2 linked regions of the Struthio camelus genome follow. Each later gene encodes a partner of the first gene's protein in a complex. Links are inferred from orthologs where the notes say so. Each region holds a gene or a part of one and is shown on either strand. Other genes may lie near its edges.

Evidence for each region.
Region 2: POLA2 (region 1) and PRIM1 share a complex: the UniProt entries of both Homo sapiens proteins name them as parts of the alpha DNA polymerase complex. The link is inferred for Struthio camelus from reciprocal best matches to the Homo sapiens genes POLA2 and PRIM1.

The regions. Positions count from the first base shown.
Region 1 is NC_090976.1:815,727-820,164, reverse strand, and holds the start of POLA2 (DNA polymerase alpha subunit B), read right to left. Parts: upstream 3,034-4,438; 5' UTR 2,967-3,033; coding exon 2,864-2,966; intron 963-2,863; coding exon 835-962; intron 759-834; coding exon 673-758; intron 469-672; coding exon 414-468; intron 341-413; coding exon 231-340; intron 149-230; coding exon 1-148. Other genes in the region: CAPN1 (calpain-1 catalytic subunit), read right to left, coding at 4,158-4,184, 4,274-4,332. UniProt on the Homo sapiens protein: Accessory subunit of the DNA polymerase alpha complex (also known as the alpha DNA polymerase-primase complex) which plays an essential role in the initiation of DNA synthesis.
Region 2 is NC_090969.1:362,528-366,965, reverse strand, and holds PRIM1 (DNA primase small subunit), read right to left. Parts: upstream 3,110-4,438; 5' UTR 3,055-3,109; coding exon 2,952-3,054; intron 2,413-2,951; coding exon 2,255-2,412; intron 2,182-2,254; coding exon 2,075-2,181; intron 1,984-2,074; coding exon 1,910-1,983; intron 1,653-1,909; coding exon 1,516-1,652; intron 1,434-1,515; coding exon 1,375-1,433; intron 1,299-1,374; coding exon 1,189-1,298; intron 1,110-1,188; coding exon 1,018-1,109; intron 947-1,017; coding exon 802-946; intron 737-801; coding exon 667-736; intron 584-666; coding exon 507-583; intron 428-506; coding exon 329-427; intron 243-328; coding exon 223-242; 3' UTR 79-222; downstream 1-78. Other genes in the region: retinol dehydrogenase 16-like, read left to right, coding at 4,161-4,438. UniProt on the Homo sapiens protein: Catalytic subunit of the DNA primase complex and component of the DNA polymerase alpha complex (also known as the alpha DNA polymerase-primase complex - primosome/replisome) which play an essential role in the initiation of DNA synthesis.

The DNA.
Region 1 (4,438 bases):
GGTGAGGTTTTCTTCCGGCGGAGCGAAAAGTTTCAAGCTGCAGCCGCGTCCGGCCTCGCCGCTCCAGGAGGGACCCCGGGCGGAGCCGAACGAAGCCACCACCTCGCCTCGGCCGCCACGGGCGGTGTATTTTTGGGAAGGGGTGGCGCTAGGCGGGAAAGGGAGGGAGCGGTGAGGGCGAGCGCGGAGCGGCGGCTCTGCCCCACCGCGTCGCCCCGGCGGGGCCTCACCTGGGCGAAAAGCTGCTGGGCGAGAAGAGCGCGTAGGGGCTGCGGGCCGAGAGCGTCCGCTTGGGCCGGGGGGTCTCCGGGGTGCCGCCGCCGGCGCGTTTCTGCGAGCCCTGCGGGAGAGAGCGGGCGTTTCGGGGCGCCGCCGAGCCGGGCGCGGGCGCCGGGCGCAAGCCGCCGGCTCACCTTGGAGGGCGTCGCGTAGGCGTCCAGCAGCTCCTCTTCCTCGTCCTCGTCGAGGCTGCCGTTCGTTAAGGAGGTTTCGCCGCCACCGGAGGCGGGAACGGCGCCAGGCTCGAGGAAGGGGACGCGAACGGGGGTCTCTCCCCACCCTGGCTGAACGCCGCTTCCGGGACGTCCGCCCGCAGCACGATTAAAATATATATAATGTATATTTCTTAAATGACAACCCCCGAAACCTTCCAACAGCTCCGGCGAAGGATACAGCTCCTGGAGGGAATGGATGTCGCGGAGACCGGCGTAGCGGTTGTCCGTTCTCCGGGGGATTTTCTTGCTGCGCTTGGCGAGGACCTGGCGGCGGCGGAGAGGGGGTGAGCGCCCGCGGCGGTTGGGGAGGGGTTGGGGCGGGGGGCGCGGGGGACCCCACCTCGTGCTCGAAGGCGGCCAGGCCGTCGGCGGTGAGCAGCGTGCCCAAGTCCTTGCTGGTGACGAAGGCCAGCAGCTCGTTAGCCAGGGTGACGGGGCTGAGGCCGTGGGCCAGGCACAGCTCCACCACTGCGGGGGGGCGGGCGGGGGTCAGCAGGGCGCCCGCCCCCACCCCGAGCGCTGAACCCCAACACCCTCCCTCCTATCCCCCCAAGCGCTGACGCCCCCGAACCCCGGGAGCTCCCAAAATTGTCCCTAATACCCCCTACAAATACCCCAACGTACCCAACGCCCCCCTAAACACCTTCCCTGATGCCCCTGCTCCTCCCCAAATACCCCAACACCCCCCAAAACACCTTCCCGATACCCCTGATCCTCCCAACACCCAAAAAACACCTTCCCTGGCCCCAGCCCTCCCCAAACACCCCAACACCCCCCAAAATGCCTTCCTGATACCTCCAACCCTGCCCAAATACTCCAACACGCCCCAAAACACCCTCCCGATACTCCTGACCTTCCCAACACCCCCAAAACGCCTTCCCTAATACCCCTGACCCTCCCCAAATACCCCGACCCCCCCCAAAACGCCTTCCCTGATACCCCCGACCCTCCCAACATGCCCAATACCTCCCAGAACACCTTCCTGATTCCCTCGACCCTCCCCAAATACCCCAACGCCCCCCAAAACACCTTCCTCAATACCCTCAACTCTCCCCCAAATACCCTCGGTACCCCCAACCCCCATCCCTCCCTGATCCTAAATCCTGACACCCCCGACACCCCCCAACCGTGACCCACCTCTTAGACACCATCAGCTCCCACCCGATACCCCTAAAACCTGATCAACAACACCCCCAAGACCCCATCCCCTTCCTAACACCCCTAAAAAACCCCAAACCCTTCTGTGACCCCCAACCCCCACCTCTTCCTGCTACCCCCAAACCCTAACAACCCTCCCCCCGACACCCCCCCCAGAACCCAACAACCCCTCCGGCACCTCCTTGAACCCCAGCAGCCCCCAACGACCCCTCAACACCCCTGAAGCCCAACATCCTCCCGACACCCCCTCGAACCCCAACAACCCAACACCCCTTCAAACCTCAACACCCCCCAACAATCCCTCAAACCCCAACATCCTCCCGACACCCCCTCGAACCCTAACAGCCCCAAATCATAACACCCCCTCGACACCCCCCAACCCCAACACCCCCTGACATCCCCTGGAACGCCAACACCCCCTCAAACCTCAACACTCTCCTGACACCCCCTCGAACCCTGACAGCCCCAAACCCCAACACTCCCTCAACACTCCCTCAACACTCCCCTAACCCCAACAACCCCGATACCCCCTCGAACCCCAACACCCCCTTGACACTCCCCTGATCCCAGCACCCCCCAAACCTCAACACTCTCTGACACTCCCCTAACCCCCAACACCCCCTGAACCCCAACAACCCCGACACCCCCTCGAACCCCAACACCCCCTCAGCACTCCCCTAACCACAACACTGCTCAAAGCCCCTCCCCAACCCCGAACAACCCTCCAACACCCCCTCGAACCCCAACACCCAACACCCCCTCAGCACTCCCCTAATCCCAACACCCCCCCCAACATCCCCTCGATCCTGAACAACCCTCCGACACCTCCTCGAACCCCAACAACTCCCCCAACACCCCCCCGAAACCCCCTCGACCCCCAACACCCCCTTGACACTCCCCTAACCCCAACACCCCCTCGACCCCAAACAATCCCGACACCCCAACAATTCCCCTAACCGCAACACCCCCCTGACGCTCCTCGACCCCCCCACCCCCTCGAACCCCAACACCCCCCCGACCCCCAGCACCCCCTCAGCACTCCCCTAACCCCAACACCCCCCGACACCCCCTCGATCCCGAACAACCCTCCGACACCTCCTCGAACCCCAACAACTACCCCGACACCCCCCCGAACCCCAACACCCCCTCGAACCCCAACACCCCCCCACACCCCCTCGCCACCCCCCCCCGACGCCCCGCGGCCCCCTCACGCTTGGCGGGCACGTCCTCGCCGTCGCAGCCCAGCTCGAAGAGCCCCAGCTCCCGCAGCACCGCCTCGGCCGACACCGGCTCCTCCACCGCCGCCGCCGCCATCGCTCCTGCCGCCACCGCCGCCGCCGCGGCGAAAAGCCCGCGCGGGCGCGACACCGCCGCGCTTGACGGCAGCGCGCGGAGGGGCGGAGCCCCAGCCTTATAAGGCGGTGAGGGGCGGAGCAGCGCTGGGGGCGCGGCTATGCAAACGAGACAGGGCGGTCAGCCAATGGGAGGAGGGGGCGGTGCGCCCGTCCCGCCTTCCCCTCAGGGGCGTGGCCGGCACCTGTCCTCCCCCCTCCCCCACGGGGTGGGGGGGGGGAAGAAAAAGGCGGGAAGAGTTTCCCGCCCCGGCTGTGGCGCAGCGCGACGCTGAGGGGGCGCCGGGCCGTGACAGGAGCGGCCATGACAGGAGCGGCCGGGAACCGGGCCCCACGCCGGCCTTTTACTCAAAAACAGGGAGGGGAAAAAAAAATTCTGTCAATATATTATATATTTTGCAGGCAGGTGGTAAAAACACCCCATTTCCTCCCCCGAGGGAGGCAGGGAGATGGTGGCCAGCTACCCCACCCCGGGGGCCGGGAAGAACCACTCAGCAAGGGGCAGCTTTAAGAAGACTGTTTTTTTTTTTTTTTTTTAAAACGCCATTAAAACAAGTTTATACAGTAAAAAAAACAAACAACAAAACGACAAAACAGTACCCAGGAGGTAAGCGCGAGAGGGATATCCTGCATTTCAGTGCTCGCGGCGGCGTTAAGCGCGCTAGCCCCCGGCCAGAGGCGAAGCCTGAGGAAGGGGGTTCGTCCAGGGTTGCAGCAGAGAGACAGAGAAAGGAGACCAAAAAGGGCCGTTCTGGGTGACACGAAGCACTTTGCTGACAAACCGCTAAGGCAACCGAGCTGGAAAACGGCAGGGAAGGCACCGAGGAGACGGCGGGGACGCCTGAGGACAGCGCGGGGCGGTTTCGGGGACGCGATCCGACGCCCTCATCCACCGAGAGCCGCAGCTTCTTTACTCCATTAATCCCACAACGAGAAAGCCAGCGGTAGTAGCCGAAGGGAAAACCGGAGCGTCCGTGGGAGGAAGCGGCAGACCCGGGAAGAGACCGTTTTCCGTGTGTCCGGAAGCGAGGCGGGGAAAGGTGCCGGGAGGGGAGGGGGGCAGCTCGGAGGAGAAATTTCCCCTGCCGGCTCCTGCCGCGAAGGCACTTGGCAGCTGAGATGGCGCCGTGGGCTGGGGGCGAGCGGCTCCGCTTCAAGCGAACATGGTGAGCTGCAGCCACTGCGAGGGAGAGGAGGGAAAGGAGGGTGAGAGCGAGGCCCAGTGGCACCCGGAGCCGCAACCAACGCGCCAGCGGAGCCGGAAGCTACCTTCAACAAGTTAAAAGTGACGACTCCGTCCTTATCTGCGTCCAGCGCTTGGAAAAACCCTGCGGCAACAGAAGGGGAAAGGGAAAAAATCAACACGATTCCTTCTAATCCTCAAAATCATGGCCTGTGGGAAGCATCTCCCCCCTTCCGAATGCCATGAAACAG
Region 2 (4,438 bases), on another chromosome or scaffold:
TGCGCCCCATGGTGACGCACCCATGGCTGTGCGGCCGGCACCCTCCACCCTGCCCAGCCCCGACCCACACGTTGGCCGCGGAGGCAACAGAGCTGTTTAATGGTCTTTGTGCAAAAAAAGTACAAAAAGGGGGGCAGGAAGGGCCGGTCTGGGCCAGGGGGTCGGGCACGGCGGGTGGCAGGGAGACGGCTCGACCTCGGGATGCGGGGCCCGGCCGCTGGCTCAGAAGTCTCCTTGCAGGTCTGGAAAGAGGAGAAATGGGGGGTTTTTACCCCAGAAAGAGCAGCTCCCCCTGGGCAGGGGCAGTGGGCTGTCGCCGGGTGCTCACCGCTCCGCCGGAGCGCCTCTCCGCGCCGGGCGCGCTCCATGCCCTCCACGAACTGCTCGAAGAGCCGCACATAGGGCGCCAGGCTCGTCCGCTTGTAGTCTGCGGGAGACGGGACTGAGCGGGGCCGGGGCAATGGGGACTCCCCCGCAGCCCCCCAGCCCAGCCCGGCCCCGCTCACCCCGCGGCCGCCGCTTGGGCTCTGTGTCGCCGTCGTCCTCCAGCTCGCTGGTTGCGTCCAGCTCCTGGCACAGGGAGCTGCGGGAGAGAGACGCGGCGGGAGGTGGTGGCCACCCCCCACTGCTGCCGCGGACCCCCCCCACCCCCCGGCACGCACCTACCTGATGGTGGGGACAGCGAAGGGGTCGAACTGCTCCAGCCTCTGCAGGTCCAGCGGCACCGAGATGCGCCCTGCCGGGGTTGGGGGGTGAGGGGGGGCCGGGCGCGGGGCGGCCCGCAGGGCGGCCGGGACCTACCTGTTTTGGGGTGGACACTGAAGGGGCTCTTGAGCAGGTGCCCGACGCCCTTGCTGACGTTGATGTCCAGCCGGGGGAAGCAGTACTGCAGCATGATCTCCCAGTCTGCGTAGCACGGCAGGCTCTTCCCGGGGCCCGCAGGGCGCTGCAACGGCGGAGGGGCCCGTCACCACCACTGCCACCACCGTGGTCCCACCGCTGCCCCGCCACACTCACCCGCGTCCGCTCCATCCTGGCCTTCAGCAGCTCCCAGCGCTGCGCCGAGTCCCTCTTCTTGGGGAATTCGCTCCGCAGCACGTCACGGTGCTGTGCCGGCGGTTAAGGCCATTCGCCGGGTGTTGCCGGACCCCCCTCCCGCTCCCAACGCGGCGGCTCCGGAAAGGATATCCTCTGGCACGAGGGCCAGCACCTTCTCCCAGCTCTCCTGGCTGCCCAGGATGTCCTGGCCCTCCAGGGCGTAGGCGGCGAAGTACCGCTCCACCACGCTCACCGAGCGCCTGCGGGCAGAGGCGGCTCAGCCCCGGCCGGCCCCGCGCCGCCCGCCCGCCCGCCCCGGCCCCGCATCTCACCCACCTGACGAAGGGGTGCACAGGCTCTGAGAGCGCCACCTTCTTCACCGTCTCCGCGCCGCCCTGGGGGGATGGCGGTGGTGAGGCCGGGCCTGGGGCACAGTGGGCTGCCCCGCGCCGCCCCCCGGCCCCGCCGCCCACCCACCTTCACCAGCGACAGGTACTCCACGGCGGCGCCGCGCAGCGCCGGCGACCACTTGCGCACCGTGTCGTCGCATACCCAGCAGTGGACGCCCCGGCGGCCCGAGTACACCCAGAGCCGGTGCTTCACGCCCAGGTCCTCTGCAGGGGAAAGAGCAGGGCTCCAGCAAGGGCCGCGGGAAGCGGCGGTCCTGGCACAGCCCCCAGAAAGCACCCCGCCGTTGCACCCCTGGGCGCATGCCCAGGATCCCTGCCGTTGCTCCCCTCCGCCCATCGCGCCCCCCTCCGGGCGCCGCGGCAGCAGACGCTATTGCAACGCAAACTGCAGCCGAGCACGTCCTAAAAACCCATGGGAAAGCGCCCGAGGCGAGGGGTGGCGCGGGGTCTGGGGGGCTCACCCACAAGCGCCCGGTCGAGCACGCGGACGGCGATGGTCATCAGGGTCCAGCACTTGGAGCAGATCTCGGCCGAGCTGCAGGCGGAGCGGAGCCGGGTCGGGAGCGTGCGGCGGCAGCGCCGGGCGCCTCCCCAGCCCTCCCCACTCGCCCGGCCGCCCCGGGGACCTGCAGCACGCGCGGACATCATCGTAGTCCGTCATGTCGATGTCGAACACCAGCTCCTTCTCCTGCGGCTGGAAGGCGCCCAGGTGCACCGTGTTGTGCTGGTTGGGCTGCGGGGAAGGCAGCCGGCTCAGCCCGTGCCCGCGGCACGCGCCCCCGGCCCGGCTGCCGCCGCCGACTCACGCGGTGCGAGTACACGGCCCCAATGTCGATCTTGTAGGGGTTGGTTTTCTGCAGCTCCCGCTCCAGCTCCTGGGGGCTGCCGAAGGACTGGAAGCGCAGGTAGACGTCGTCCCGCAGCGTGAAGGAGAACTCCCGCAGCTGGAAGTAGTTTTTGGCCGCTGCGGGGGCGCGGCCGGCATGGGCTGGGGCAGGGCCTGCCGCCCCCCGCTGCGGCGCTGCTGAGAACCCTCCGCTCATCACACGCCCCCCCAGCACCCTCCCATTCGCAGCCCCTCCTGCTGTCACCCCTCCAGGTCCCCCCTTCATCGCCTGCACCCGGGGCCCCCCTGTCCACTGCTCCCAGGCCCCCACTTCCACAGGTGGGTCCCCAGGGGGACCCCTCCACTGCACCCCTGCCAGCGCCCCCGGGACCCCCCCACTCATCCCCTGCACCCCAGCATCCCCTTCATTGCACCCCTGAACCCCTCCTATTCATTGCACCCCATCCCAGCGCCCCCGGGCCCCCCCACTCATTGCGTGCACCTCCAGGACTCCCTTCGTTGCACCCCCCCCAACCAATGTACCCCTGGACCCCCCCCCCATTCCTTGCACCGCACCCCAGCGCCCCCCCCATCGCACCGCCGTGGCCCCCCCCCCCCCCCCGCCCTGCGCCGCTGAGGCCGCCGCGCTCATCGCAGGCGCCGCCGGCCCCGCTCACCGCCGCCGTAGCTGAGCCAGCGGCCGTAGGCGCCGTGCGGGAAGAGGCGCCGGTAGAAAACCGGGAGCAGCTCGGGCAGCGCCGCCGGCTCGAAGGGCGCCATGGCGGGAGCGGCGGGAGCGGGGGCGGCGGCGCCACGTGCCCCGCGGGGCCGCCGGGAACTGTAGTCCGGGACCGGCCCGGGCCGCGCGGCATTGGGGGGGGCGCACGGGGCTGGGGGGCGCACGGGGCTGGGGGGCGCACGGGGCTGGGGGGCGCACGGGGCACGGGGGGCACACGGGGCTGGGGGGCACACGGGGCACGGGGGGCACACGGGGCACGGGGGGCACACGGGGCACCGGGGGCTGGGGGGGGCGCACGGGGGATTAGGGCGCACGGGGGCGCACGGCCTTGCAATGGTGCAGGGGGCTGGGAGTGCACACGGGATTGGGGTGAATGGGGCTGGGGGACACACAGGATTGGGGTGCATACAGAATTGGGGCGCACGCAGTTGCAGCACACAGGATTGGGGTGCACGGGGCTGGGGGGGGCACACGGCCTTGCAGGGGAAACACGGGATTTGGGGGGGGCACATGAGATAGCAGGGTGCACACAGCATTGGGGGGGCACACGGGGCTGCAGGGTGCACAGCAATGGGGGCAGCATGGGGGTTGCACAGGGCTGTGGGGTGCAAAGCAATGGGGAGTGCACAGGATTGCAGGAGGTGCACAGCATTGCAGGGGGGCGCAGGGGATTGCGGGGTGCACGGAGCACTGCAGGACGCACAGGCTGCACAGGGCAGTGGCGGGTGCGGGCGGTGCAAGGTGCACCCAGCCCCGTGCACGCGGTGTGGGTGCCGGGGTGAAGAGCCCCCAGGACATTGACCCAGCCCTGGTTAATGATTCCCCTCCAGCTGCAGCCAACAGCAGAGCCAGGGCAGTGCCCTGGCCCCGCCGTCCCCAGCCCCTCCCCGCGATGGCATGAAGCCGCGGGTCTGGGACCAAGCTCCTGCAGCACCACGAGACCACTCCGGGGGCGGCCTGGGGGGGTGGGAGCCACCTCCGTCCCACCTGGAGCCAGCCGACCGCAGTCCGGGGCTGGGCACTCGCGCGGACGCCACCAGCCGCAGCGTTCCCGTCCCAGCCGCACGCGTCTGGCACCGCGGGGCCGCATCCGTCACCCGCAGCCCTCTCCCCGTCACCCCGTGCGCTCCCAGCATCACCCACGAGGATGTGGCTGTACCTGGCAGTGCTGGTGGGGCTGTACCTGCTGCGCCGGTGGTACCTGGAGCGGCAGCGGGTGCCGAACCTGACGGAGAAATACGTGCTGATCACGGGCTGCGACTCGGGCTTCGGCAACCTGCTGGCGCGGCAGCTGGACGCGCGGGGGCTGCGGGTGCTGGCGGCGTGCCTGACGGAGTCGGGGGCCGCACGCCTGCGGGCGGCCGCCTCGTCCCGGCTGCAGACCCTCGTCCTGGACGTCACCTCCAGCCAGAGCATCGCTGCCGC